Medicago truncatula: one gene and its partner. The protein of the gene in region 1 interacts with the protein of each later gene in a pairwise test. Links are inferred from orthologs where the notes say so. Each region holds a gene or a part of one and is shown in the gene's direction. Other genes may lie near its edges.

Region 1 (16,534 bases):
GCTGGTTGTGTCGATGACGCTGGAATCCCTCTTTTGCAAGTAACCAGAAACATCTTGGCGAAAGTTATTGAGTATTGCAAGAAGCATGTTGAGGCTACAAGTTCCGAAGAAAAACCTTCTGAGGATGCTCTTAATGCTTGGGATACTGAATTTCTCAAGGTTGATCCATATACACTCATGAAACTCACCTTGGCTGCAAACTATTTGAACATCAAGAACTTGTATGATCTTACATGTAAGACCATAGCAGATATGATGAAGAATAAGCCACCAGAGGAGATTCGCGAGACTTTCAACATTGTGAATGATTATACTCCGGAGGAAGAAGCGGAAGTTCGTCAGGAGCATTATCAGGCTTTTCAATGGTTATAAAATGAATCTGTCAATTTAGTCTCTAATGCTTTGTTTGATTATTTTATTTTGAAATTACAATCTCACTCAAGAAATTTCCAGTGGGTTTTATGTTACGCTTCATTCCATTCCTGAAACAATCAATGTAGACTTCATGGAATAAGTTACATAGTTTGAATTTTATGAGCATAAGATTTTATCAAGGTTATTTGATAAAAAGTTTATTATAATTAATTTGAAAGTTTAGATTAAAAAATAATTTAATGTCATCTATGTTGTTTACAATTGGATCCTAAACAAAAGGTGAACTCTCTTTTCTTTCAAAAAAAAAAAAAAAGGTGAACTCTCTTCGATGATATAATTTTTTACAGAACTATAAAATTAAATATCACTATTTAGAGATGTTACGATTAACTTCAACAATTTTCTTAAGCCTAGCCGCCGCTCCTATTATTTTTCTCTCTTTTTATCTTCTTTACCCATCAATAAGTGGTGGTTTAGAACCAATTTTTGACCCTAAATCATCCCCTAGAATCGGAAGTTGTTCAACAGACTACATAAAAGGTTAAGATGATTCAGGAAAAGATGAAATCGTCTCAGAGTAGGAAGAAGAGTTACCATGATGAGAGAAGGAAAGATACTGAGTTTCAAGTTGAAGATCATGTGTTTTTAAGAGTGAACCTCGTGACCGGTGTCGAACGTGCTTTGAAGTGTAGGAAGTTGACACCATATTTTATTGGTCCATTTGAGATCATTGAGAAAGTGGGAGCAGTAGCGTATCGGATTGCGTTGCCGCCGTTGTTGTCGAATCTTCATAGTGTATTTCATGTATCTAAACTCAAAAAGTATGTGTATGACCCGTCACATGTGATTCAAGTGGATGATTTGGAAGTAATTGATAATTTGACCGTTGAGACTTGGTCGGTGAGGATTGAACATCGAGAAGTGAGGAGGTCAAGAGGAAAATAGATCGTTTTGGTGAAAGTGATTTGGTTTGGACCAACCGGTGAGAGCGCTACTTGGGAATCGGAGAGTCTGATGAAGGAATCGTGTTCAGAGTTGTTTTCTTCAGGTAATTTTCGAGGACGAAAATTCTTTAAGTGGGGGAGAGTTGTAACAACCTGTTTTTCGCTCGGATTATTTTATATATATATATATATATATATATATATATATATATATATGTGTGTGTGTGTGTGTGTGTGTGTGTGTGTGTGTGTGTGTGTTTAATTTCTCGTTTGTGTGTTTGATTTGAGATTAGTGAATTTTTAGGCAAGAAATGGTATTTTAGTCATTTTAGAACTAAGAGTATTTTGGTAATTTGAGAAGCGAGGGTAAACTAGTAATTTTAGAATGAAGAGTATTTTAGTGTTTTAGTGTGAATAATTATTTTTACTAATATTAGTAGTAACTTGAGGTAATTGTTTTGAGATAGTAATTAATGAGATGTTTTAATGAGTTAAGTGGGTAGTAACTTTTTAATTAAGTGGTAAGAGACGCTAGATCCATTATGAGATGAGTTAACCTAACCCATTAGTGGTAAGAAAATGAGTCAAACGTTGTGAATTTTGAGAAATAAATTGACTTTGTAAAATGAAGATGCTATGATTGAACTATTATGATGTTAGATGATATATAGGAATATAATGATTTATTTATATGTAAGAGCACAGTATCTTACTTTTGATGAGATATTTGAAAATAAACGATATTTGTGAAAATATAAGAACTTTGGAAAAATGAGGAATTATGATTTGATAACTTGCAAATGACTTTCTATTCATTATGAAATAAGTGTGAATCAGTGATTGGTTGGTGTATAATATGTTGGTCATCGTGATGTGAGTGATTGTTCGTCTATTACGTGGATTGTGCTTTATGAAACAATGTTGTTTCCTTGTGGTGATAATTGTTTAATAATTGTTGATGATGAATATGTAGAGATGAATACTTGATAATAAATATGTAGAGATGATTAATTGATGGTAATTATTGATGTATGGATGTATTGTTTGATAATGCAACGTGGTAAAAAGGTAGAGTATGAAGAGTTAATTGGTGATGTGCATTATCGAGGTAATACTTGAAATTCATACATTCATAAGTAGTCCTTTATGTCGAGAATATGTGGAGAATATGTAGAGGGATCAATTGGCAAAATTACCTCCGACATGGAAATGGTACCACATGCATGCAGAGTCGTGTCTAGACCATTACATGCACATGAGATGTGTGAAATGTGTCATATTTGATTATATGACTTGATGAATTATGTGAATTATATGTGATTGGTGAATAATGTGATTTATGTGGAGTTGTGTACTTGAATATGTTTGCTTGGTGATATTAGTACGCTTGAGATAATGTTGTTAAGGTGATGAGTTATTGATGATAATTTGATTGAAGAAGGAGATATGCTTGAATATATTATCATTGATTTTATGACAATATTCATACGATGTTAGTATTCTAGGATGATGAGCATGTATATATGTGATGTTTGAAATCCTTGAATTCTATTTTGTGCTTTTATTTTACTATGTGGAATATTATCTAACTCCTAGTTGTCGTTTGGTTGACCGCCTCACCATTTGTATAAATGGTGTAGATGACGTGCAGGTTTGAGTCGTATTGCTTGTGAGTGCTCAAGGATTAGCTTGGAGCTACCTCTTCATCTTTTGCGTGGAGTCTAGATTAAGCTCTGATTAGGAATATCGGGACTTATGCATTTTATGTTATTTATCTGTTGTTGGATTTATTGTTGAGACTGTTGTTATGTACACCCTATGGTCACTATTATAAGCAAAAATTCACTTCTTAGGTTCATTCAATAAATGATGTATGTGGTTTATATAAAGATCACATACATCATTTATTGAATGAATCTAAAAAGAGAATTTTTGCTTATAATAGTGACCGGAGGTGTATATGAGACCTGAGACATGGTGTTGATATTTTATTATTTATGTACTTTGAGGATGATTACATGTTGTTGAGATATTTATGATGTTTTTTTTTTTTTTTTCCGCTGCTAGTTTTTATGAAAATCAGATTATGCATGTTTTTTAGAAAATGATGACGTGTCATCTTAATCTATTTCGAATAAATGATTTATTTGCATGATTTATTGCATTTTGGGTTTAGGACGTCACATTTTGTCCCTGATGCGTCTTAGAAGTGGGCCCATGTATACTATCTACATTTTCCCCGTCTTTTCATCAGCAATATAATCAACGACTTCTTGCTTAAGTGGCCTAGGACAATCCCCAACGGGTCGGTGTAACATATACAGATGTGAAATCCTGAAAGACAGTTTCATATATCCAAATGATGTCTCGATACCGTGCAGTGCATTTGATCCCAAGTCCTCAACAAAAAACACACACTCAAGAAAGTTGGTATAAGCTACAAACACTTGCTTTCAGGTCATCACAGGTAAAGCAGGTTGACCTTGATGCCTGGGAATGACATTAACAAATCCAAACTTATACAATTCTCGCTCAACCATATAACTAACTAGGTGAGATATGTAGTTGATTCATTCTGAATAGAGGGTGATGCTCTGGACTTCTTACACATGGATCTGATTATATGATGTTTGTATCTATAATCTGATCCATGTGCGCTCTATAAGGATATGTGACAACGAGACCCTTCACTAGTACAAACATCAAAGGACCGAGGTGTCAATCCTCCTTGTAAGATTGAACAAAATCTGCACACCAGCATTATCTATTCAGCAAAATCTTCCTCTCTTTTAATATAATATTAAACAGCACTTCAAAGTGAAAATTCTTCTCTTAATTAGGAACATGACCATCCAAAATTGACTTCTCCATCATCATGCATTTAAACAAAATTGTTAAAACGATCAAATTGTGACAAAAAATATAGAATCCAAAATGGTGTACATAGTTTACTAAATTTAAAGAATATAAAAAGTAGCAGCTAAATACTTTACCCTAAAACCGGATCTTGACAGGTTGTCCTACACTACTTTTGCATGCAGATAACTAATTCTTATACTCTCCAAAATGCAGGAACAGCCAGGACAATAATCTAAAATGGAATTAGGTAGAATAATTCAATTCATGTCACATTAAAAAAAATGTGTCAGTGTCACCCATGTTACTAAAGAATGTGTGTATTATATAGCAACCCTGGTCCTTATCTTCAGTTTGCCCTCATTTTAGAGTAACATCTCACCGACACAAACACAATGGCACTAAACTCCAAATTCTACACGCATTCGAAATTTTTCTTTCTTTGAATAAGTACACCCAATGAATAGTTATAGGGTATAATTTTTGACAATGAGGTGCTAAATTATTTAGAAATGATATTTGTCAATCATTTTATAACAATTTTCTCTCTTATGTTCTCTCTGGTTCTATTTATAAGAAACATTTAACTTTTTTAATTTATTACATAAATAATGTATTTAATATATATTCTAGACAAGATACATTAAGAGTTTTTCTATTTACACCCCATATTTTTCTGGTTACACCCAAATTTTCTTAAAAAAAATTTATAATATCAAAATTGCCCTTTTATATAAATTTTCTTAAAACCCTAATTTTATTCATTGTCGGTGAGTTTCACCCTCTTTCGCCCCACAAAGCGATCGATCAAACAATTTGATGTTCAATATCAATCTCCATGAAAATTAAAGAGTGAATCAAAATATTTTTCATCCATACTCAATTGGATATAAGTAAGTGAATTTCTTCTTCTATTTGCTAGTTTCAATTTTTTTCCTTCAACTGCAATGATGCACTGTACGATTACGGTTTTAATTTACATTGGCAAGGTTAACTTAAATTCAGTTTAAGTAGGTTCATGTAAACTTAGTTTACATGAACCTACTTAAACTGAGTTTACATGAACCTACTTAGATTGAGTTAACATGAACCTACTTAAACTGAGTTTACATGAACCTACTTAAACTGAGTTTACAAAATCGCAGAACTGCGAATCGCAGAACAAGGAAAACACAAAATCAGAACTGAGAACCCATAAAAAGAAAAACACAATCGATTGAAGAACAACACTTGCTAACCTGATTTGCTTCGAATTTTCTTTGAAATCATGAATGGACGTGAGAAAGTATGGTTTTGAAAATCTTCGCAGAACACAATCGATCGATTGGAGAATTATGGTTTTGGAAGAATGGTTTTGGGGTGTAACCAAAAAAGAAGGAATAGGCTTTTTGAAAATCAAATTTTATGAAAGGGTAATCTTGTCATTTTGGGGTGCAACCATGATTAACTAGGGTGCAACTAGAAAAACTCATACATTAATTATACAATAAATCTAAAAAGTCAATTTTTTCTTATAAATAGGACCGGAGGGAATATTATTTACATTGTGTTTTTACTTTATCTTTCTTTTGTTTGATTTTCGTGTAAATATCTATTTATTTTTTTGTAAATCTATTGTTGTCAAATAAATCATCAACCAAATAGTTGTCCAAATAATACCTCTCTAAATTATTATAAATTAAAAGCAATATGGTGGACCAAAACTCATTTGTGTGTCGATTGTACATATGCTACTTTACAACGAAGTAATTATTCATGTTTTATGGTTTCTAAAAGGATTCTTGTTCATATGCATAACATATGTGATTTGTTTGTAAAAACCTGTTTTAGTATGTTTACTTCCTTTCATAAACCTGTTTTAAAAAAGTTAATTTTAATCTTAATGTTTGATTTATTTTTAAATTGTTGATTACTGATTAATGAACAATAGTAATTCATCTAGTAATGCTTGCAACATCTTGGACTTACATGTACTATTTTATCGTTGGCATCTTTAACAGAGTTGTTGATATCATGTGATAATCTTGAGTATTATACTTTGTGGGGTGTTACACTTAACACTTTTGATATTATAGTGTTAACTTCACCAAAAAAGTCATTCTCATAACTTTACCATAGTATTTTCCTTATATTTATGTACCAATTTTGTTGCCTCTCTTCTCCACATACTAGGAATAAAAAATCGAGATTTAAACATCCTCAAAATATTAACACCATCATAAAGATGCAAGGAGAAGGAAGTAAAATAATGATTCTTAATAGGACTCTACCATAACCAATAGTGTTGTGTAATTTATACTTTCCATATAAAAAGTCACGTGGCATCGCATGTGAGTTACTACTTTAACAACTCTTTAGTTTAAGCAGTGTTCACATACTCACATAAATGGGTCAAAACCGACGTTCCTTCATTTGCTACTTTGATTTCAGAGCTATGTTGACTTTGCTGTCTTTGGCATTTTGCAGTTTGGCACAGCTTGGATTCTTTGGAAAATGTAACAAGTAACTAACCTAGTGGCTATTTAATACTACCACACTCTTATAACTAGTAGAGTATCATTTTAGGTAATGCATTTCTTTAAAAAAATACTAGTTGAATATCCGTCAGCAATCGAATTGTTCATGAGAATATGAGTTTTATTTTTAAGTAAAAGAGTTTTTTTATCATATTTACTTATTTCAAGGTCGAACTCCAAATTATCAAGATATATTTTCCCTTGAAATCGAGGGATAAACACACATAAAATGATTAAAATGTGTTTGTTAAAGTTTAATCGACAAAATCTGATGTATGTGGTCCAAATTTTAAACTAAGACCGAAACTACTACTACCTCTATCTTGTACATACTTTTGTCTAAATACATTGTTTTGACTAAAAGTGAGACATATAATATGAGTCAATGAAAATATACTAATTGAAGTAGTTAGTTTGACAAGTAAATAATGTGAAAATATTATTACAAAAAGTAAATAAATTTTAAATTTTAGAGGAGTAAATATTCCAAATATGCCATGAGGGAGTATCATGGCTTGCATACCCTACTTTAATACACCTTTGCACTCTTTCATGTGATGTGTGTGTAACAAAAAAGGCTCCTTCACCAAAACTATTTCTTTCTAATTATAGGTCCCTTCTATCAAAATTTGAACTCCATACTTTTCAGATCTCAGATCCACTTTTTGCAAACTTAATTCCTCCCCCCATTTCCTACCTACCTACTCCAACATCACCCAGTTAATTCTTTATACTAATAATTTTTCATCAAAAAGTAAAACCCTTTTTTGCAATCATTGTATCATGAATTTTTGACAAGTAACTTTTCTACTTAATAGCTTTCCTCTCCTAATTATTGATCAAAGAAAACAGAATAAAAAAAAGTCATCATAATTATTGATCAAAGATTTTGTTTTATACACCCACTTAGTAAAATCATGTCATCTTAGCAATTTCACTTTTCTTTCAATCCAAACTCTGAATATGAAGAAATTGTGTCTTAAACTTTGTTATTTGTTTCCAACAATCATTCTTGTGTTTCTTATTCCAACTTCACTTGCACAATTAGCACAAACAGAAACTAGAATTCTTTTCCAAGTTCAAAAACTTTTAGAATATCCACCAGTGCTTCAAGGATGGAACAATTGGACAAATTTTTGTTTCCTCCCTCCTTCACCTTCACTCAAAATAGTTTGTTCGAACGGTCGCGTAACCGAATTAACTATCATTGGAAACAAAACATCTCCATCTTCACATATCAACAAACCTTTTCAAGCACTTTCAGGAGCTTTTTCAACTGATTCATTTTTCACTGTTTTGACAAAACTTTCAAATTTGAAGGTTTTGTCATTGGTTTCATTAGGTTTATGGGGTCCATTACCTGCAAAAATCAACAGGTTTTGGTCACTAGAAATTCTCAACATTAGTTCAAATTTCATTTCTGGTGAAATTCCTTCTTCAATTTCTTCAATGAAGAATTTGAAGAGTATTGTTGTTGCTGATAATCTTTTCAATGGAAATATTCCAGATCTTAAGAGTTTAACCTCTCTTGAAGAGGTTAATTTTGATGGAAATAAGTTAGGTCCACAATTTCCTTCAATTGGAAAAAATCTTGTGAAAATTATTTTGAGCAAAAATTCTATAAGATCACAAATTCCTTCTATGATAGTACACTTTGATAAACTTCAAATATTTGATATTTCTTCCAATAACTTTTTTGGAAAAATTCCATATTCCATATTCTCATTACATTCACTTCATTACCTAAATTTGTCTTCAAACAAATTTAGTGGTAATCTTTCAATGAATTCACCTTGTAGTTCATCATTGAATTATGTTGATATTTCACATAATTTTCTAGTAGGAAAATTACCATCATGCATTATGAATTCAAAGGGTAAAGTATTGTATTCTGGGAATTGTTTATCAACAAGAAATCAACATGCATCTTCATATTGCAAAAAAGATGCAGCTTTAGCTGTTAAGCCTCCTAAAAGAAAAGTGAAAAAGGAATCAAGTATGAAATTAGGACTTGTTCTTGTTATTGTTGGAGGTGTTGTTGGAGTTGCATGTGTTTTGGCTTTGCTTATTGTGTTCATCTTGTGGAAATCAAAACCAGAAAGATTGAATCATAATATGGATAGATCTGCTGCTCATAAGTTTTCAGATAAATCAAATTTGAATGCAAGTAAGACCACTATCATTATGTTTATTTATTTATTTATCATTTATTGTAAATTAATTTATGATATATTAAATCATATGCATCCCAACCAACGATCGAAGTGATTAATAAGTTTCAACTAAGGTTAAATACTTGAGTTTGAACTCTAACGGTAATAATTTATAGTCAGGTTTTACTTATCTCCTGGTCAAACCTCTGACTATAAGCTTTTTTCGTGATTTACCGATGTGTTATAACAAAATAGAAAATACATATAATAGGTTGAGAAGATATTAACTGTTGAAAAATCCATAGTGTTTCAGTCATGATAGTATTTTCTATGTTGTTTTCATGAACAGTAATTTTAGTAGTTTATTTACTATTTAGTAGGGAAGTGTCTGTAAAGATGTACATGCTGTCATAAACTTGCTCTTTTGTTTGTTTTTTGTTTTTACTTTTAGTAATTCATAATCTGGTCGAGTGGTAAGGAAAGTCTGATTAATAATTTTTAAAGCCAAGAGTCAAATTCGATATTATTCAACTTTAATTGAATTTAATTAACCACTTTATTTGATATTTTCTCTATTTGTTTTCCAATAAATAATTTTTATATTATTTTTCACTCATATTCTCTTAATACAACAAAACAAATTCCTTCAATTAAAAATTGCATTAATTTGATCTGACCTATGAAAACAGGACATGTTCCTCAAACAATGAGACTAGCTACACATGGACAGCCACCATACAATATTTTCACAGAAGAAGAAATTGAAGATGCAACCAATAACTTTGACCAATCAAATTTAATAGGAGAAGGATCACAAGGACAGGTAAAAGAATATTTTTTATAATCTTCAAGGTTTCATAACTTGTTCTTTGTAATGAAAAATGGACCCCATGATATTAATTATTTACTATCTTATTTACACAGATATATAAAGGTTCGTTGAGGGATGGTTCATTGGTCCTAATTAATTGTATAAAAATAAAGCAAAAGGGTTTACCACACAGCATTATGCAGCAATTAGATGCATTACAAAATTTGAGGCATAGACATATGGTGAGTGTTCTAGGACACTGTGTCATTACTCATCAGGACCCTCCTCAAGTAACATGCACAGTCTTCATTGTACTTGAATACATCTCAAATGTGTCATTAAGGGATCAACTTACAGGTAAACAATCACATCATCAAATCATAAAGAATTTAATTCATATTAGACTCTGAGTTACATTGTCGATCAATCATAATCGTCAGATCATAAAAGTGTTTGGTAGATTGTGATTTGTTGACAATGTAAAACATTTTACATTGACAAAGTATCAAAATTAAATTTAGTCAAAATTACATCATAGGTCCTTTAAGTTTGAGGTTTGTAACAGATTGGTCATTTAAGTTATATTGATCACAACTAAGTCCTTTAAGTTTGATGTTTGTAATAGATTTGTCATTTAAGTTATTTTAGTCACACATAAGTCTTTTAAATTTGTAAACGTTTTCGATTTAGTCCTTCTGCAACATCATCGTTTTTGTAACATTTGGTTAATAGAAGGACTAAATTGAATGTCATGATATGAATGTCAAAGCAAAGATTTGAATGTCAAAAAATGCGACATGACATGAGATTTATTTAACAGATGGGAAAAAGAAGGATATGCTAAAATGGCCACAAAGAATGGCAATCAGCATAGGAATTGCAAGAGGAGTTCAGTTCTTACATACAGGAGTTGCTCCTGGAATATTTGGCAACAATTTCAAGATTGAGAATATTTTGTTAGATGATAGTCTTAATGCAAAAGTTAGTGGATACAGAATTCCATTGCCATCTAAGGTTAGGACAGAATACATGATTTGATTAATTTTTTTCAGTAATATTTGCATGATCATCTAAGTTTCTAACATGGAATGATTTATGCATTGATTAATTTTCAGAGCACAGTTAATGAACCAAGTTCCGCGAATCAAAATGGAAGGTATATCTCATTTTAATTAATCACTTGATCTTATGTTATATTTCACTGTATCCTAAGATAGTATTTTGAAATTTAAATCCATGTGCAGCACAAACTATGCAGAAAAAGAAGATATTTATCAGCTAGGTGTTATTCTACTTGAAGTCATTACTGGTAGACAAATTGCATCCTCCAGTGAAGTAGAGCAGCTCAAGGATGAGGTATCCATTACTACATCTGTTCTTTGTCACATGTTTTTCATAAAGTGCTCGAAGATTATAACGATTGTTCATCTTACATGATAAATGTTTTCGTCAATATTATAAAAATCGAACTGAATCAACCAGTTGAACCGAGAATAAGTTACGTTGCAGTCCAGTTGAACTGGCTGAACCGACAAGTTAAACTGCAGTTCAACTAGTTTTCATTGTTTTATAGTTTATGTGTCATCTGGTTCAACCATGACTGAACTGATTGAACTAATTAAACCATGACTCAAAGGTTTCACAGATTTGGTATCTCATCCGATTTTTAAAACATGAGTTTTGGTACATGAAAAACATTGCCGAACATGTAAATCTATTTTACGCATTATCTAATCAAATTTTATCTATCACCTGTTTGTTGAGATATTTTAAAAATATAACAAATCGACATTAAAAATCATTTTGATTGATAAGATGACCGTGTAAAAATATTTTATACTGTCAATAGACTCAATACACATTCCTTAAACTCGATATCCGATTTAAAGACTACTTTTCTTATCTTTAATTACATCTTTGTCATATTCAGCTGGAAAGAGGTTCATCAGAAGCACCGTCGCAAATACTAAGAAGTGCAATTGATCCTTCTCTACGCGGGAGTTATGCATATGAATCAATGAGCACTGCAGTTCAAATAACAATCAATTGTCTCTCTAAGGTTTCTAGTAAACGTCCTTCAATAGAGGATGTTCTATGGAATTTACAGTATTCAATGCAAGTTCAAGAGAATTGGACCAGCAGTGGGAACCTCAGCACAAAATTTTAAACCTCTTGTCAATAAAATTTGTCTGATTGTGTTTCAAAAGTTCATTGATCATGATGAATAAAATGGTAATGTAAATATTTAATTTCTTCCATAAGGCCAATAACACATTTTGTCCTACATTTTTCATATTTGTTATGTATAAATTATATTATTATTAAAGTTCCTATCATATTTGTATTTTGGCTCCTGTAAATCTATTCTTGTGTGGAACGATTATTGATCAGGCTATATTTATCTCACCGTTGAACTCCGGATTATCAAAGATCCCTTACCGGATGATTAACACAAAATATATTTATGAGAAACAATGTGACAAACATTCAAAAGGAAGTTACAACTACATAGATTGGAATATAAAACAATTTGTTCAACTAAGAACCATATTCTCAAGTACCAGTTTATGACACGTCCAAAATCAACAGAGTCAACAATAAACCTTCAAATTCCTCAAAAATCAACATTCTTCCTTACTTGAAATGCAAAAAAAGTTGTATTTCTTCTGCTAGATTACCAACTAAGCACTTTTGAATGTTGTAGTGTATTTAAGGACTGAAATTATGTGATTCAATTTCGAACTGATCAAGGATAACATGATTGGAGCTTTAAAGATATCGAAATGCTTAGACCAAATGTATCACGGGGTCCTTTAAATTTAAAGTTTGTACCAAATTAATCCTTTTTTAGTTTTTTTTAGTTTTAAATTGGTCTTTTATATTATGAAAAGTCTACACCTTGTCTTTAAGTGTTTAAGTTGGAGGAAAGAAAGAAGATTTCCCCACCATCGATCGATTTTAGGATGGATTGGTTGAATGTTAGCTCATTGGTTAAATGATTATGATGGATGAAGAAGAAGAGACGGGGTGTGAAAGGGGAAGAACAAGGAATAGATTTGGCGTAGTAGGGTGTGGAACGGTACATCTTTTATTGTTTTTTAATTTAAAATCTCAACCCTTACATATTTTTTGCCACATGTTTTACATCCAAATCGTAAATGGAGCTTAGCTTAAATAGAGGGTTACTCATCATTTATGTGAATTGTACTATTATCAAGTATACACTTATTATATTGAAATCCTTGTTCCCTTGTATTAGTAATAATTACATGTGTGTTTAAGGTAGAGAAACTCCACCATCAATCAATATTAGTTAACTAAAGATTAACTCATCAAATGATTATGATGGATTTATCGGCGAAGAAAAAAGAGGGGGTGGAAGGTGAAGGGGAAGAAGAGGGAGTGGATTTGGTGTTGTTACACCAATTAAATAATTTAGCATACATCATCTCTTGAAAAAAAATTGATCTTGATAGAGGTAGGGAAAGAGAGGAGGAAGAGAAAGGGTTGGAAGAGGAAGGAGAGGGAGTACTCATGAGTTGAATGATCATGATGGATTTATGGTTGAGGATGAGGAAGATGAAAGGTGTGGAAGAAGAAAGACTAGATTTGGTGTAGTATGAGTGCCATTACATACTCTGGGGCATAAAAATTTATGACTATTACTTTTCCCGCCCTGCTGCAAAAATTCTATAAATACCTCTGGTCTGAATTACGTAATTCGGACCAGATTGTTAGTGTTTCTTGAATATATAATCCGGACAAATACGATATGAATATTTTGTGTCTTTCTTTGATGTCAGGGTCTCTGTTGACCGTTATACGACCCCTGCATAAGCTGCAATGCAATTGAAGGGGTCGTATGAGCAGTCAACAATGACCATGACACCACTAACACTCCTAAAATCTACCTAAAAAACTAAAAAATTTTGAAGAAAATGTAAGAAAGGAGGGTAAAGAAGAATGAAGGAAAATGTTGAAGATCTAAGCCTTTTTATAGCCTAAAACAAGTCATAGGTAATTTGAAAGTCAAGGAAAATGTGTTTTTCATTCAAAACCGTCCAAAAAAAACGTATTAAAACTCCACTAACCGGCCTAACCTTTGGTGAAACGTCACCAGCCAAAATGTTACTGAGGGTTTCTGGATTTTATAATTTGGAATGCATGAAGCTATTCCGGATTTTAAAATCCGAACTGCGTCAGACCCTTTTGTTTGGATCGTTTTTGTTGCAATTGCCTTGGAAAAAAATAAAACAAAGGTACATAACATAAATTGAAGCAACATAAGACAAATAAACAGTTAAAAAAAACCATAATAACAGAAATGATGAATCTTTTGGGAAGGTGTTTTCAAGAGGATTTCTTTGAGTTAGATCTTACTGCCTTGCCAAATGACATATTCATCTGGCAGGCAGCAAGATCTAACTCATAGCAACCTCTTGATATTTTTGAGTTATCTATGTATCAAGGAGGCATCAAGCAGTATCTATATATTTTTGACAGCATGATGAGGATCTTCATCATGCGGTTATATAGAGATATATATTTAAAACAGCATGAGAAAGATCCTCGGCACAATGACAAAAATTTGCATGGTCTCTTTGGTGTGTTTGTTTGTATTTTTGACAGCATACTGAGGATCTTCATCATGCAGTCAAATAGAGAGTTAACTCATCTATTTGCGACCGCATGAGAAAGATCCTCAGCTTAATGACAAAAAATTTCATGATATTCTTTGTTGTGTTTGTGTGTTCTAATGGTGTTGAAGCTAAAAACCGGAGAGGATGTATTTATAGAGGTCTTTGGATGTTGTGGACCGCATAAACTCCTAGTGCAATGTGGTCCATACAAAAGAATCTTATGCTGAGGTATTCCGGATTTCGTTTTCCGGAACACAGATAAGCCCTAGGCATATCCGGATTTCGTAATCCGAAAATCATATCTTTGGTTATTTTATTGAATATATGAACATATTTGACGTAAATTAAAACATAATGAAAGTTTAAATAATATATATATATATATATTATTCAAACTATAATGCAACTACTTAATTCAACAACACATAACTAACATGCAATTAAAACAACATAAAACATGTGATTAAGTAAAACATGGATCATCTAAACTAACTTCTTCCTCCTCTGGTCCCTCTAGCAGAGCCCGAATCTCTTCGTAGTTCCTGGTCCGGTGCAAACTTTTCAGAATTTGTTCAGCAAATCTAACCAACGAAGTGTCCAACTCGATCAGTCCTCTTGTACTGTGCTGACCAAGGACAGAGAACATGGTTCGCAGGTCGTCGTCGTTCTTGAGTTTCATCCAGCTAAAGAGATCCGGCTGAGTCGGACAATGGACATCGATATTCAACTCCGACCACCCTCCTCATGTCTTTGTGGTTGAGTTGACGGTTGATTTGATCCAGCTCATCCTTCAGCCCGGAGAGGGTGACATTGTCTCGAATCCTAAACAGATGGGGTGCTGTTCCACTGTTGTAGTAGACTACCTCTAGCTTGGTGTTTAGATCAAAGCCAGGGAATTCCATGTTGTTTTGTCTAATGTAGTTTAATTGTAATGAAAACAGGGACCCCTATTTATAGAGGTATGTGGGCGTTGTGGACCACAGGAATTGTCGGTGCAATGTGGGACACACAAAAGAATCCAATGCTGAATAAATCCAGATTGTAAAATCCGAACAAACCCTCACCATACTCAAAGTCCCAAGTCTCCCTTTGTTCACCCCAGTATCGTATGTTTCGGGATTATACATTCTGAATTACACCAGAAGCTTTTGGGCGGTGGTCTGCACCACAAAGAAAACGTTTTTCAAACATTTTGGACGGTGGTTAAGTTGAAAACCGTGTTTCTACACGTTTTTTGACCGGCATTGATGGTTGTTGGAACAAAATGTGTTTAACATTAACCCTTAAGAGTTTTGATGATAAAAAAAGTATTAAAAATTGTCAATTGGATATGCTAATATTTGTTCAAGTGTACAGGATTATAGACAAAATTTGATATCTTAAAAAGGTCTTGGAAGAACAATAAAGAGCAAAGAAATCAACAAAAAGGGAAGCTTAAAGCGTCTGAAGAAAACTGCTCCTGAAGATAAAACGCTCTTGAAGACAAAGTGCTCCTGAAGTGATGACGTCATCAGAAGCAAGTTTATTAGAAGCTAAAAATCACCAGAAGCTGCAGTTCATCAGAGGATGCAACTTAAGGCTTCAAAAGCTGTTTAATGGGATTCAACCTCGTCTAAGGATTGCAGAAGACTGAAAAGTGAAGCAATGGCTACTTTGAAGGGATTTGAACGCATTGGATGCTTGTTCCTCAAAAGAGCGTTGACATGGTACGTTTGTACGAAGTGTACAACCACTACCTCCATTACTCTATTTTGTCTCTGTTACAAGACAAGAAAAACAGCTCTGCCTGCAACGATGTTCCTTTACAATGGGAATGCATTTGAAATTGATCCTTCTTAGGACAGTAACCATATCAGGCAAAGGATCATTGGTGATTGATCAAAAGCTTCAAACGACTCTATTTTGAATGTGCTGGCAATTCAACGTCTCTTTCACACCTCTATATTAAGGAGTGAAGACTCAGAGTTTTACAAGGACAATACCAAGAATTAACTGAGCCAAAACTCTGCTGAAATTGTTCTGCATTGAAAGTTCTCTTAGAATTTCTTATCAAAGCTCATATCTTAGAAATTCTAGAGTCTTTAGAGTCTGTATCTGATTTGTATTGTGAACACCACTGATTGTATATCAAGTGTTCAAACTCAAACATATTCTTTGTAATTTTGTTTGAATTCAGAAGTCTCTTGCATTTGTGCTTGAGCAATAGAAGTCTCTTGATTGTGTTCAGGAGCATAGGAAG
Region 2 (16,415 bases), on another chromosome or scaffold:
ATATAAATAAGATGGATAGAAATTGTTAAAAATTTCAAGTGCAAAGTAAAAAAACAGATTTGAGAGAAGAAAAATAAAAGACTCCATGAATGTTCAAAATGAATTTTTTTTTCCCTTTCTTTAGCCATGTAACCAAAAAAAAAAAGAATGTTCAAAATGAAGAAAAAGTGGAAGACTCGTTAGAATTGCCGATGAGAGGTGAAGATGGAGCAATAGTTGAAGACTCATTTGACAAGATGACAATGAAGAAGAGGTTTCATCAATATAATTTTTATACTGACTGAAAATAATTAAAAAAAATGTGCATAATATTTAGAAAATTGACAATTGTTTATTACGAGAGAGATAATGCGCAAAAAAAATAAGAATTTGTTGGAGAAAAAGTTAATACTAACTCATAAGTGTTTGTTACGAGAGAAATATAACATATTAAATTAAAAAGGTGTGTGCAAAAAAAAAATAGAAATTTATTGGTTGATTAAAATGAAAGTACAATAAGAAGAAAATGTGCAAAAATACACATTGCTATTTTTATGTTAATTTTTTAAAAAAACACTTAAAAAGAAACGGAGGGAGTAATTTTTTAATTTCATTTTAGTCTCATAACTATTATTTCTTAGAGTATATTTTAGCTCCTCAGATTTGCTTCGTTTAAAGAAGAATTTGTTACTACACACTAGGGCTGGACAGAATATTGAAAACCGGCCGAACCGGATGGACCGAAGCATGGCGGTTCGGGTTGAGCGGTTAAACCGGTTGGTTGGTCCAGTTGAAATGGTTTGGTGTGACTAATCATGGTCGGTTACGGGTTGTAATATCCAACCCACGGAAAACCGTTTCCGACCGATCCAGCCCACGTAACTAATGTCCAGCCCAAAGTCCAGTTGAACCCACATATATAAACATAAGTTAGAGAACTGAAACCCTAGTTTTTCTTTCTTGTTTGTTTTTCCTCTGCTGCGGCTGCTGTTCTTCTCCATCCATACATCAGAAATGATTCCTTTCCTTCAAATCAAACATCATCCAAAAACACACAAATCTCGAATCATAAATCACAAAATCATTATTTTCTTCCATTTTCCATAAAAAATTTAAAACAAAAATCACAAATTAACAATGTTAATCCTGCCTTAAGAAATATATTCTACTACACTCTGTATTACGTTCTTATTTTATCTTTTGTTGCTCTACTGATCATAGGTTTTAGAGATTAGGCTTGAGCCAAACTCCATGGTATAGATATACACTTGTTTTCAAGCGTTTCCAGAAGTTTTATAGATATAGACATGTCTTGGTATCTATGTTGTATTTTAGCTTTCACACTCAACTAGGATTATTCTTTTGGTTTTCGTCAACTAGATCTCTTTTCTAAGTACTACCTACTGTTTAATCCTTGTTGTGCAGCATCAAAATTATTCTTTTGGTTTTCATCAACTATGATATATTGTGGCACAAAGACCGCTCTTGATTTTTACCGAATTAACCGAACCAAACCACACATTTCACCGGCTTAACCGTCTACACCGAACCGACTAAACCGATGCCTAAGTTGGTCGGAAATGGTTTAGGGATATGCAACCGTTGGTTTAAACGGTTTCAAGTTTTGGAACCGATTTTGATTTCGAACCTAACCGACCCACACATACAAATGACAACAACTTTCTTGACAGCTGTCAACTCCAATTGTGCTCCCATGTAGTAATAGTTAGATATGATAAAATCCTAAATTAAGTGAATGTATTGAAGCAAGTCTTAAAGAAGTGTACACAACTTGATCCTCCGTAACTCCTTACAATATGACTGTAGAAACACTTTGTAACCAACAATTGCACCGTTTTAACGGGATATGTATATAAAAAAGCACATAAATAAACTAAAATAATTGTCACTGAGGCTCCAACAAATTTAAGTTTTTAACATACTACATATTTATAGGATAATTTTGAAACCATAATCCCAAACATTAACAAAAGCATTTTTCATCTCCTACTCAATGAAGGCACCTTTCTTGAGAACAGTCAAATTCAATTGTGCCCACATGGAGTAGTAAATAGTTCAATATGATAAACTCCTAAATGAAGTAAATACATATAGCAATCAACTAAGTTGTAGACTGCTTCAATCTTTAACGAAGGGTTAGTGAGACTTTATACGAATATCCAATTTGAGTTGTCCAAAACCAAAATGATCTGAAGGTATCACAAGAAATCCAGCTGTAGGAGCATCACCATTATTGTCTTGAATGGTCTTCGTAGAAGATTGCAATATTAATGTGCTCCCTTGAGACCTAGCCAAGACATCATAATGAGTATCTGTAATTGCTTTGGGGCCCATGCAACTAATATGGACCATATTTCCGTGTTGAACAATGTGGTTGTGAACAATAAACAATCTTGCGTCATTTTGATCTAGAAGAACGATTTGTTTCTGTCGGGTATTTAAGGAGACAGAAATAAATTTGTCATAGGTAAACTGTATTCCAAAGCCTGCATGTCTGTGGCTGAAGTGGAGAGCTAACTCCTTGGATGAGGCAAGAAAACCGCAGCCTGTATGTGGGCATTTACATGGTATATATATGCATTCCTTCTCGTGGCTACTTTTCATACTGCAACTAAACATATCTTTGCAGCCATATTTTGCATTTGGGCATGATATTTTAATAGATTCCAGCAACTTCTCCACAGCCCGACAACGATTGTACCCAATGGGCATTGAACACATAGGACATTTGTTCCTAAGTTCGCCACAACATTTAGAGCAAGCAATATGCCCATTCTCACACTGAATTGTCATTTAATCACAAAGAAAGTTATCAAATTAGATCTCTCATTACATGGGGCATCAAACCAAACAATAAAAAAAAGTACCCTTGAAAGGCTTGCATGTTGAAGTAGCCAGATAGAAAACCAAAGGAACATACAAAAAAAAGTGGCAAATAATCAAAGAGAGCTCCCTCCCTTTCTTTTGAAGGGAAGGGAGGAGGTAAATTCCTCCTCCTTCTCTTATTGATTACCTTTAAATTACAGCAACCACATAAAACATTATCAATGAACAATGACATTCTTTCTTTCTTTCTTTTTTGAAAAATTGACATGAATCATAATGTGAGGTCACCATCATACTATTGTACTTCAAAAGAAAACATCAATTCAAATTTAAACATTAAAACAAACAACAAACCATGTGATCAACAACTCTGAGCACAAGGAATGCATAAAGTAGAAATTTTAGTAAGTATTGAAGATAAAAAATCATCTTCACAGCGAATTCAACTACAGTCACACATCAGTAAAGAACGGCTTATTAAAAAAAAAAAAATCTAGCAATTAAGACTGTTTTCCATTGTAATTATATGAGCTCAAGTCGTTAAGAGTTTATCGCAAAACATCAGCTATATGGTTATGAGACCCTAAATCATTTACCTATATCGCCCATGACAAAGTTAATTTTGTATTTTGTTTAAATTTGAGTTGCAAGTTTGCCATAGAAATTAATTCATGGTAACGATGAAGACTACTGACTACCATTCAACAAACTACAGTGTATCTCAACCTATTTGTTGATGCAGGTGAATATATTAAAAACAATAGTGCTAAGAAATAGCATTATGCAGCTAGAACCTTTAGAACTCAGAATAGAGTATCAGATCTATGTAGCAAATAGCAATTGATTTTGATTCACAAATTAACACTCATAAACAGAACTTTGAATTCGAGGTTTATATTCAACAAAATCGTTCCTTTTGAACCTTCAAAATACAGAAAGAAATGTGTCTATATAAACACCTATGCCAACAAATTGACCCTCTCTCAGCCACATTTCAGGCATAAGTATAACAACTTACTCAATTAAGTTCATTACATTAAGGGTAGTCCAAAACACCACACAGGCCCACATTGGATGTTACATCCTTCCACATTGATTTTACAGTAAAAAGTTGATTGGATATGGGTGTGGGTGTGGGTGTGTGGTGTTTTGGACTTGACTGTGTAATTTTTCAGCCACGCTTAAACCATGGCCTTTAAAAGGGGAGTCCAAAACACCACACACCTACATCCAATGAACTTTTTACAGTAAAATCACAAAAGTAGACCTGCCATAACAATTTATCCTCGAATCTCAAGGCATTGGGTTTGGGTTCATGGATTGGTTGTGTGTTACAGCGGTTGAATTCATCAATCCGCCAGAGCTGATTACAATTGACTTGCTATGGATGTGAAATTTCTGAAATCCTTTTCAAAAGGAAACTTCTTCACCCAAATTCCAACTCACAATAAAATCACTAACCTAAATCTTCCATCACAAATCAAATAATTCATACAAAAACAAAAAATCACAGCAAAAAAATTCAAGATTTCTAGTCAAAACAGAACACCCAGAAGAGAAACTAACCTGATAAATAGGAACTGCCAACGGTTCAGAGCAAATGAAGCAATCAAGAACATCAGGATCAGAAATGATAGCAGAAACCTTCTTACTCAGATCATTATTCTGTTGTCCCGCGTTGGATCCAACCGAATTTCTTTCATTTGCATCATTTTCTAGGGTTTCAATTGGGGGATTTTCCATTTCAAACCCTTCTTGAGGTTGTTGATTTTCTTCTTCTTCTTCTTCTTCTCTTGTAGTTGTTGCTGCTGCGACTTCTTCACCGGCGTCGACCCTTCGACGCTTCTGATTTGGGTTGCTAGGTCCTTCACCGTCGTCGCAGCCACCAACGGAAAATGTCACCATCGGTGGTTGTTTCTCGTAGGTATCAAATATTTATTATTTCGATAAAACTGCTATGGTTTTAATTTTAACATAAAAAGATGCTGCTGGTTTTGATGTGATAAATTTACCTATGTACTTTTAGAACTACTTCTATTAATTATTTCCATATAGTAGTACATTACTATTGATTATTTTTGTAAGGTAAGAATAATGTCATTGACCCGAATTCATATCTAAAAACTAATAATTTTTCAAAAAAAAACCAAGTCGGTTCAAGGGGACTGCCATTAAAATAAAGGACCCGAATTCACGCGTAATGTTTATGTTAAATATTATTTTCAACGTATATTATTAATTATATTAAATTTTTATTTTAAAAAGTTCTTGCACTAATGCGGTTGAGTCAAATTAAAGGAATTGACTCTCACAATCTTACGAATCAAATTTTCGAACTATAACTAGGAACGATATCCATATTTGATGATCGACATGCCTCCAATTCCTTTATTGAAGAAATGTTATATCCATATTTGGCGAATTGTTGCTCCAGTTAAGACTTTATTGAAGAAATGTTATATCCATATTTGATGATCGACATGCCTCCAATTCCTCACTGTAGAAACTGTAGAAATGATCTACAGTGAGGAAGCAACAATTTTTTATGACATAGTTTGATTCAACTGGAGCTTTTATTTCTCTCAATCTCCGGTTAATTCAAATGGGTGAAATGTGTTCGTTTAGAGTGTCCCTAAGGATAGTTTTGTTAAAATCAATGGTGATAGTTTTGTTACTGATCATGGAGCCCTAACAACTTCGGAATGGTAATGGTATTTGACTTTGAGCTCATCAAGGTGGAGTTTGATTCTCTATCAGCACTGTCCTTATTTCTAATGGCTTTGATTTACACCAGCCATGTTATCCAGATTAGGGATCTCCTCGAGCAGTTGTCTTCTTGGTCTGTTATTCATGTGCATTGGAAAGTTAATAAAGTTGTTGATTGTTTTGCCAAGTTTGGTCTTAACATTTCTTCTAGTGCTGGGATTTTTATTCAATTTCTGTTTTGACTTCTTTTAGTTTTGCGTGTCTGAACCTGTGGTGTCATCACCTCAAATACAAAGAATTGGCTTAAGGACTAGCAGTTCCGTTAGATGATGATTCATTTATACTATATGCTTAAGCTTGTATAAGCAAGAAAAATTGGTGAATCTACAACAAGATATAAACCCCAGTTTTCAGAATTGCTTAATCATAGTTAGTCTCTTTTTACTGTATTTCCTCTTTTATATTGTACATCAAAAAAGTGGTACCTTATACCATAATACCCAATAAGCTAGTAAAATGATGTTTGTTGCAAAATACTAAAAACACTTAATGATGTAAATGCAATAAGCTAGTAAGTTCGAACCAGATTCTAGTTAAGTTCATATGCATTGGAGGGCCATTTATATTCCTCTTTTTCAATTTCATTTCTTGTCAATAATCATGAAATACAAGTATCCGACTTCGAATTTACTCCCTCAAACAGCATGTATCAATTGCACAATTAACAGCATAAGAACAGAACAGAACAGAACAACAAGATATCGAGTCACATAAGAAAACATACTACTACTACTACCAGGGAAAGGGGACACAGCAAGAAAGTGATTTTCCCTAAGCAAAACCTAAACAAACAAACAAGTCAGAAGAAGCTACAACAAGATTATTACATTTAAGCAGCGTTCTAAATGCGAGTGTCCCAAAGTGATTCTTGCTGAACTTTACCACTCTTCAAGAGTTCCGCGATTTCCTCCGGAGGGTTCAAACCAAGCTTCACAGCACGCTCCAAGCGTGCCAGCCTCGTCATCCCCATACAAGGCCCATACTTCATGTTCATGTCAAATTGTCGAAGCACAGCCTCGCTGCCGTTGTGTTCATCTGTAGTAACCGCAACCAAATCATATTAGAAAAATAAAATATATGAAATTAATAAAAGATGAAGGTGATTGGGGGTGAGAAAACCCTAGAAATCAAATTGAACCTTGGAGATCTGGGTTGGTGTTGAGGGATGGTGAAGTGGAGGCGTGAGTTGGAGGTTTTATGGACTTGGATGATTTGGCGGTGGTGGTGAGATTGGTGTTTTTCTTCTGCTTGTAGAAGCCCTTCATATTCCCAGATACCGATGAAGACATTCTCTCTCTCTCTCTCTCTCTCCTTTCGAATTTTGAATTTGAAGAAAATGGTTGAAATTCTCGGGTTGTCTAAAGCACCACTGACCCCACCTTTAAATAACCACGTATTTTTTCCTTTTCAATTTCAATAAAAAGACCACAAGGTTGGTTTATTTAATTATTTTAGTATCATTTCATATTTAAATTGCCATAAAATCATGATAAATGATATCTGTACAATAATTTTTTGATAAATTTCTCTCTTATATTTAAATTATGTTTTATTCGCTCTTTTTTTTTTTTTCCTTCTCTATAGTTTTTGACTGGTCAAATGAGAGAAAAACAAAATTGACATAAAAGTTATTCGAAAGAGTTGTACAAACTCTAAAATCATACAATCATACATCGAGCAAGATTATTATTACATAAAATAAATAGCAATATTTGGTATAATTTTTTTTTTACCAAGTACTACTTCAAATTTTCAAAATGGTGGGGTCGGAGTCGGACATCTCAATTTATTTAAGCTAAGTTATAATGAATTAGAGATCTTGGTTTAAACCCAAACAAAAAGGTAAAAAGTAAACCTAACAAATAAATACTAATATTTATCGTAAAAAAAGTTTTTTTCCTTCAAAATAGTATAAGAGCATAAATATAATTGGGCACGTATGTAAATACAAATTACAACATATGAGTTGTTCAGAGGAGCTACTTCGATGGAGCTCCAAGAACATTCTAAGACTCAAACGATAATACATTGTTCAAGCTCATTAAGTTATGATCCAAAGTCTTTCATTGGATGTCGGGTACGAGTACGACTGTGCATGAACAAGGTTTCAACACATCCGTACAAGGAACATGAAACTGAGACTCGTTTTTAGACACATTAATTATTCGTACATGACACGTAGAATCAGGGCATACATAACTTATGTCACTTTGTTGCGTGGCAGGTCATGATAAGCTTGAACGGAACCACAACAAGTTTATATGCATAGCCGAATTTGGCATGGTTGGTGTGAGTTGAATAATCAAGCTAATGTTGAGTGAGATCTTGTAGATGATGTGATTTGGCATGACTTGAAAATTCAAACCAAACCAATGTTGAGTGAGGAAGAGGTGAGCTAGCATGATTTGAACAGTCAAGCCAATGCTGAGTTGGGCGATGTGAGCTGGCATGACTTGCATAGTTAAATCTGAGTTGGATCTTGCTAGCCAATCAAGTTAAGATATTACAAGCCACATGGTATGATCGTCCATACCAATCCACAATGCATCAAACGTCAAATCTATTATGGCATTTAGACGTTTGTTCTTTATTCAATTGACCTATACCAGTCCACATTTTGCCAAAGATCAAACTTGTTAATGCATATATATTTGTTCTTTATTCGGTCGGCGTATATCAATCCACTAATAATCATTAATGAAATGAATGTTTTATTCAAAATTATTGTTATAAGTTTTTTAATATTACTATTTTTTGGAACAATTTTAATATTATTATTTAGTTATCGTTATAATGATATTTTTTCAATTATTATCATATATATAATTAGTAGAGAAATGCTAGCAACACACATTTTAACACATTGTCTTTGATTTGTTAAAATTCACATGAGACCCAACAAATTTATATGGAACCCACATAATTTGGGGACTCATGTGAATTTTAACCAATCAAAGAAAATGTGTTGAAAAATATGCGTTGATGACCTTCCTCGTAATTAATTAGTATCCTACATTTATAATGATTAAAACAAAGTAAAATAATGAAAATAAAAAAGGTTATATATTCAGTTCAATTTCTATTTTTTTTTACTAAACCATTTCCACCCCTCTATCAAAAAGGTTTTATAATATTTATAACTTGAAGTCACGGGGGGGGTGGGGGGTTGTCAAAGACTAATTTCTATGAGTTATCAAAATATTAATATTAATTCTCTTATATTGATTTAAGTCCAGACTTAAATCTCACCTAATATTACTTATTTGAAGCAGCGTTAGCAAAAAATATACTATACTGCTAATTTTTTTTGAAAGAATACTACTACTAATTGAGTAAATAGTCAATTTTTCCCTTGAAATTGTAGGTTTCGTCAATTATTCTTCTAAAATTAACAAAACTTCAATTACCCTCATGAAATTGCATAACGTTAATCAATTTACCACTCCGTCAAATTTTTCTGTTAACTGTTTACGGTTATGATCAAATACCCCCTGAAATTTTGCACTTATGTGCAAAATGCCCTCTAAACTTAAAAATTTATATTTTTTTATCCTTGACTAAAAATATATTAAAGGTAAACAAATTAACAATTATTGATCATATAAATATGTATGTAATGTATGTTTATGGAGCTATTGGTCATATAAATCTTTATAGAAGATATGTTACTCTCATGTGTTTTAAATATATACATATATAGAAGTTTTTTTTTTTTTTACACAAGTTGGTAATTATGTTAGAGTATGTAGTCATAAAGTACACAAGTCTTTGATAATTGTGTGTCCATAAAGAAAATGCATATGTTTATATCTGCAGAAGGAAGAAGAAACAAGACTTGTTGATAAATATGAAATATAAATGAAAAGACTCCACATGACAAAACCATGATTTCTTTGGCATATATTCATTCATTTTTTTGTGAATAGAATATTTATGACAATAGGTACAATATACTACTTGAAGAACTAAATGTATGATTTTTGATAAGAAAAAAATCTAAATTTTTAAGTTTATGGGACATTTTGCGCATAAGTGCAAAATTTCAGGGGGTATTTGATCATAACCGTAAACAGTTAACAAAAAAATTTGACGGAGGGGTAAATTGATTAACGTTATGCAATTTCAGGGTGATAATTGAAGTTTTGTTAATTTCGGGGGGTAATTGACGATACTTACAATTTCAGGGGGGAAATTGACTATTTAATCACTACTAATTTGTTTAGTCCTTACAGTTCTGTATTGGGTTACGGTTGCAACAAGTGACAATAATGACAGTTATTCCACATCATCACTAAATTAGTTTCCTTTACCAGTTGTTGTTCTGAAATCATCCATCCTAGATAGTAACACATTCATAATCATGGCTACCACCATTTCATCAACTTGCTTCATCTTTGTTCCTATAATTTTATCATCGTTGTTATGTCCTAAAACAACATTATGTGCAACTGTCCTAGAAGACCTCAAAAACTTACACAAACCACCAGATTTCAACACTACCATTTTCAACAACTGTCTCAAAAACCCTTCTCTCAGATACTGCACTTCCTCCCCCATGGTTGACCTTGATGAAATATTCAAACACACTATTGTTGCTAGTCATCTATGCAATGAATCTAACAACCCCAATTGTGTTGAATCATTTCCTAAAATTGATCTTCGTAACCGGCCAAACATTGCATCTCTTTACTTGTCTTTCACTTTCTTTTGGAAATATTGTCCTTTGAGTATTCAATCCATTGATTTCTCCAACAATTCTATAAAGGGTGGTTTTCCAAATGATGTTCTTTATTGCACACAAATTCAGTCTCTTGATTTAGGTATCAATGAGTTTTCTGGTGAAATTCCAATTCAAAGTTTCTCTTCACTAACTAACCTCACTTTTCTTAACCTTTCTTATAACTGTTTCTCAGAGAGTGAAATTTCTGATTCACAATTCTTCAAAAAGTTTAATGCTTCTAGTTTTCTTCATTCTGGTGCTCTTGTTGATCACAAAAAGTTTACTATAAAAGCTATCATTTTATTGGTTGGTTTTCCTATTCTTGTCATTTTGATGGTAATTTTCTTGGGATGGCTTTGTTTTCAAAGACCTGATTTTCTGCCAAGAATACTTCAAAGTAGTAGAGGATATACATTTACACCAGCAATTCTTGAGGCTGCAACTTGTGGTTTTTCGAACAAAAATTTGGTTGGTAAGAGTGATATTGTCCATATCTACAAAGGGGTGTTAAGAGATGCAACTGAAGTGAAAATTGAGATGTATTGGGATGATATATCAAGGGATAGCTATCATAAATTTGTTGAGGAATGCAAGATTCTGTCTGAGTTAAATCACAAGAATCTTGTTAAGGTTTTAGGATGGTGTAAAGGTAGAAAATTCAGGGCTATTATAACAGAATGGACAGAAGAAGAAAATGTTGAAATGTGGCTATCAGGGGCAAGTCCATCATGGAATCATAGAGTGAAAGTTTTGATGGGAGTTGTTGAATGCATGCTATATCTTCATGAGGAGTGGCCTGAAGTTGATTACGATCTCAAGACAAGTAGTGTTTTGTTATCTGATAAACTAGAACCATTGATTTCAAGGTTTCAAGTTGGAGAAAGAAACAACAGTAGAAGAAGTAAGAATCTCTATCACTTTATTAATTTATAATGGCAATATCATGTTTTGGTGCGCACAATTTCTTTCAAATAGTTGAGAGTCGCACGTTAGATTAAGGCAGATTACCCTCCACACTTCAAATATACACATAATGTCAAAAACAAAAAATATGAATAGGAATGTGCGCGTCTTTCTGCTAGTAATAGACAATTACCATGCGCAATCAAGATTTCTTCCAAAATGATATTTTTTCTTTTTTCCTTTTCCTTGTTTTTATGTCTTATATCGTTATTGAATTAATTACTTTTATTATATTATAGAGGTGTGTAAGTTTGGAGTATTTCTGCTGGAGATGATACTAAACAAGAGCGTTCAAGAGGACTTTGATGGAGATGATGCCGGTTTTATTAGCTACATGAGAACTCTTCGTCTTTCAGAAATGCAACAAATGGTTGATGAGAGAATAAATGTTACTGAAACAACTTTGCATCAAGTTAAACAGGCTTTATCCCTAGGATTAATGTGCATAGACCAATCAAGCAAAGAGCAACCAAGCTTGGCACAAATATTTAATATTGTATCAAAGGCATACAAGTCTAACCTTGTTTTGCCATCTGCAAATCATAAAACATTTCATGGAGATAAAGTTATGGGACACAAGCATTTTCAGTTTAGATAAGTCACAATATTAAAGGAAATTTTTCCTTAGATTTAATCTTTAGAACTACCATTAGCTCTGTTCTGACTTCTGATAATTTATTTTGATTATACTTCATTCACTATCGTAGTAGTTTTAAGCATGTATTGTATAGTTGTACTAATTTAGTATATTTGTTGGCTAACTTTTAGCTACACTTAGTGACATATATTTGAATTTGGATCATTTGTAGTTTGTTGCAGATGTTCCAAATCACCTAAATTTGTAGTCAAATGGATGTATCATGTACCCGATAAGAAGGTGCTCAATGGTATAAAATGGGTATACCCTATATATGAGTGTCCATGTATCACTACTAAAACAAATGGATCAAGAATATGTGTTTTTTTCAATGAAGGTTTATTATCTTTTAAAAAGTTGGCTTAATTGATCTGCCGGTCCCTTAATTTATTTCTTTTATTCAATTTGGTCATATAAGTCTTAACTTTCTCAAACACGTCCCTTAACTGATTTCTTTTATTCAATTTGGTCCAATTTTGATAATTTTAATCCCCTAAAAAAAGAGACCGTTGGATTACGGAGGTCTATCAGATTTTATAGTGTATCATCAACACCTAATTTATTTACTTTCTTCTTCTTCTTCCATCATCTTCATCTCCATCCATTCATCCTTCATCAATAAAACCCAGGACAAAAAAATTTAAACCAATTATTTAATCACTACACCACCATCATTGTCATCTTCATTTATCATCATCAACACACTCCAACAACCTTCATCACCTCCCATATCGAAGATCAACAAATTCTTCTCACCAATACTCGTCACTTTTTTGTGAAGAAAATTCCAGACAGCCATCCACAATCCATATTCAAACCGTTTTATATTCCCATCAAAATCTATTTCAATTCCATTTACCCACTCACACTCATCATCAACTCCACCGCTTTCTTCCCCCAAACTCAAACCCTCCTTGCTCCTGTCAGATCTGGAACCAAATAATAACAACAAGTCCGGTGATGACGCGAAAAAAACGACGTTTTAAGGCTTTTCACGGATGACTCCTACCTTTTTGAGTTTGGTTTCGAATGTAACGATTCATTTTGAGCTGGTAATGGATGTCGTGAAATGGAGCTGTTCATGCAGAAAACTGAGTTTGATTTTTGTGTTTGATTGTCGTGAAATGGAGCTCTTTGATTTGAGAGGTTATGAAGGTTGTTGTTTATGTGTTGTTGTTTCTGGAATTTTTATTGAGGTTTTGCTTCTTTATGGATTTTTGATTTTTGTGTTTCTTCTCCTTTTGTGGTGTGTTTATGTTCCAAGGGTGGTTTTGTGAGCTTGTGTTCTGTTTTGTTTGGGATCTTGCCTTGCTGGTGTTCTTTAGCTATGGGAAAGGGTTTTTTTTTTTTTTTGTACCATTTGGATTGGATTGGGGAATTTGGGATTGCAGAGATGAGGATTGATGATGAATCTAGAGAATGGAATTGGAAGAGTGTGATTTGGAATTGAATCTTGGTTTTTTATGAAGATGATTGAAGGATGAATGAAGATGAAGATGAAGATGATGGAAGAAGAAGAAAGTAAATAAATTAGGTGTTGATGATACACTATAAAATCTGATAGACCTCCGTAATTCAACGGTCTTTTTTTTTATGGGATTAAAATTATCAAAATTGGACCAAATTGAATAAAAGAAATCAGTTAAGGGACGTGTTTGAGAAAGTTAAGACTTATAGGACCAAATTGAATAAAAGAAATAAATTAAGGGACCGGCAGATCAATTAAGCCTAAAAAATTTCAGTAAATGTGTACATTACTTGCTCTACAAGTAATTATTAAAAACTAACTAACTTGCACAAAAATAGCTAACAACATTAACTAACAATTTTAGCTACTTATAATCTCAACTAACTTGAACTTATCTCAGCTAACTTGAATTAAAAATTAACAGTGCAGAGTAAAATTTTCCTAGTTGCAATGATAAGTTATATCCAAATTGACACAAGAAAAATAGATTTAGGCCCAAATTGCTTAGAAGTAACAGTTCCCCAAGAAAAAATTGTAAATCTAATAAACAAGATTAGTCATGTATTTCTTCATTCCTTATTCAAAAAAAAAAAAAAATGTATTTCTTCATTCCTGTATTATGCAACAAAAAAGTGGTACCTTACACCACAAAACCCAATAAGCAAGTAAAATCTTGTTCGTTGCAAAATAAAAACACTACTAATGTGCATAAACTCATCAAATCGTGATCGTTACAAAATATATTAATAATGATCATGCAATAAGCTAGTTAAATTCGAATCAAATTCTAGCTAAGACTCACAAACTCAGTCTTTATTGATTTAGTCATAAGGTGTGATACTTTTTCCATGCAAGGGTTGATTTTATATCTTCTTGTTTTATGATCTATAAACATGTGTATGCATGTATCAATTAAAACCATTTGAACATTGTAGTTCAATTTCCGTGACTGCATACATGAGACTCTAAAAGATTCGAAAATATGTTTTCCCAATTTACATCATTGATTCAATATGGTGAAAAAAAGAAAAGGGTGAATAGAGTCAACAATTTTTATGATCAAATTTAATCAATTCACTATTGTTTCTTTGTTACTTGCTTCCCAAGAAACTACTAAACGATGCACAAAAACAAACACACTAACAGAAAATGATTTTTCAAAACACATATATAGAAGTTTCTATCATATCAACCAGCAACATTCACTTAAGAGCCAATTAACATTTGATAAAACTTGTAAAACAAAACACACTAACAGAAACTGATTTTCCCTAAGAAAAATCTAAACAAAAAGGTCCATAAAGAAACAAGATTATATTATAACTAACAGCAAGAAACAAGATTATATATTATACTAACATCTAAGCCTTCTAAACGCGTTTGTTCCATAGGCCTTCTTGCTGATCATTACCACTCTTCAAGATCAGTTCCTTAATTTCCTGCGGAGGATTCATATCCCACTTCTTTGCACGCTCCCATCGTTCCAGCCTCGTCAGCCCAATGCTAGGCCCATAATCCATGTTCAGGTCGAATTGTCGCAGCACCGACTCGCTGTTGTTTTGTTCATCTGTAACCCCACCATTCACATTCCCAGTAACTGATGAAGAAGAAGACATATTCTTACTCTCTTTCTCTTTCACATTTCCAGATGAAGACATTTTCTCTCTCTCTTTCTTGAACCTTTCCCTTTTTGAAAACTGTTTGAATGAAACTCTCGAGTGGTGTAGATAAGTGACTTACCTAGCCACCTTTAAATAGACATACACAGCACACAAGCTTGGTTTATTTATTTTATTATTTGTATCATCATTTTCCTTTTTACATTTTTGTGGGATAAATAATTGACCATTTTTTTATCATTGTAATTGATTGATTTTTTTTATAAAACTGAAATATATTAATTTTATGTAAAAAATGTTTTTTGACAGCTGAGATATGTGTATAAAGAAAATATGATTAAACTTGAAGAATTGTCCGATGAAAATTAGTAATACTAAACAAAGATCGATACTTTTGGAAAGAGTAATGTTAAAAACAATTATTGAGTTAATATTTTTTTTCTTTCTTAATAGTTAAAAACAATAGATAAAAAAAAAAAAAAAGTGAGAGTAAAAAAACAATATGAGTATGAGAGACTTGTCTAAAAGTAATCATAAAATGGTGTTGTACAAATATTATTTCTGTTTCAAAAATGGACTAAGGGCTCATTATGCCGTAGTAGTGGTATGCGGTAAATTTCTATTAGATCAACTTTGTCTAAACGAATCAACCACTATAATCACTTGGCTCTTGAAAACTCTGGTTTGTTTTAATTTTTAATTTTTTTTAGTTTTGATTCTCATTAATCACTTTTTGATATTCTTAATTTATGCTTTGTTTTGTGCAGTTTTTTGCGTTTTGTGTTTGATTATTGGTGAGACTGTTGCGGCGATTGTTGAGTTCATGCCTGTTTGCATTGTGGTCGTTTGATTTGGATTTCATTGCTGAAACAGTGTCGTTGAGGGCAATGTGTTTGCCAATCAATTGTGATCAAATGCTTTGTTTTGAACATGGTTAGATAAAGATGAGAAAAACAGAAGACGGTGGTGGTATGCGGTAGAATCTTAGTGATTGGCTGCTTGCGATGGCATCGTTTTGAGATCAATGCTTCCTTACTTGTTTTGTGTTTCCATTAAAAACTCTTTGATCTGATCCATTTTTAGAGTGGAGTGTTAATAAGTCTATGAACGACAACAAGATTGTGCAGATATTGAAACTTTTTGTTGTGCTACTCTTAGATAGCATCACTATTTTTCCCTCACCTTGATGCCTCTGCTCTTATTTTTAGCTTGATAGTATGTTTATTACTTTTCCAGTGACTTTTTATTTCCTTTTCAATTAGTTTTCTTCATAAGTGAAAATCAACACACAAACAAGATTGAAGATAAACAATAGAGATGCATATAAGTTTTATTTGAGATAATAGTTCTCTACACCTTGAAAACAATATTTATTAAAATGAAAAAGATGTATTATCGATCAGTTATCAAACGGAA

The links.
Region 2: the proteins of probable LRR receptor-like serine/threonine-protein kinase At1g14390 (region 1) and LRR receptor-like serine/threonine-protein kinase FLS2 interact in a protein complementation assay, tested with the Arabidopsis thaliana proteins (2 studies listed by BioGRID). The link is inferred for Medicago truncatula from reciprocal best matches to the Arabidopsis thaliana genes AT1G14390 and AT4G20790.

What each region holds. Positions count from the first base shown.
Region 1 is NC_053049.1:26,872,418-26,888,951, forward strand, and holds probable LRR receptor-like serine/threonine-protein kinase At1g14390, read left to right. Parts: upstream 1-7,219; 5' UTR 7,220-7,654; coding exon 7,655-8,858; intron 8,859-9,533; coding exon 9,534-9,667; intron 9,668-9,768; coding exon 9,769-10,012; intron 10,013-10,475; coding exon 10,476-10,669; intron 10,670-10,770; coding exon 10,771-10,811; intron 10,812-10,899; coding exon 10,900-11,011; intron 11,012-11,585; coding exon 11,586-11,822; 3' UTR 11,823-12,015; downstream 12,016-16,534. Other genes in the region: SKP1-like protein 1A, read left to right, coding at 1-372; uncharacterized protein, read left to right, coding at 922-1,320.
Region 2 is NC_053045.1:45,930,707-45,947,121, reverse strand, and holds LRR receptor-like serine/threonine-protein kinase FLS2, read left to right. Parts: upstream 1-9,952; coding exon 9,953-11,213; intron 11,214-11,514; coding exon 11,515-11,873; downstream 11,874-16,415. Other genes in the region: E3 ubiquitin-protein ligase SINA-like 10, read right to left, coding at 2,137-2,781, 4,393-4,731; DNA polymerase delta subunit 4, read right to left, coding at 6,434-6,627, 6,731-6,881; DNA polymerase delta subunit 4, read right to left, coding at 14,751-15,038.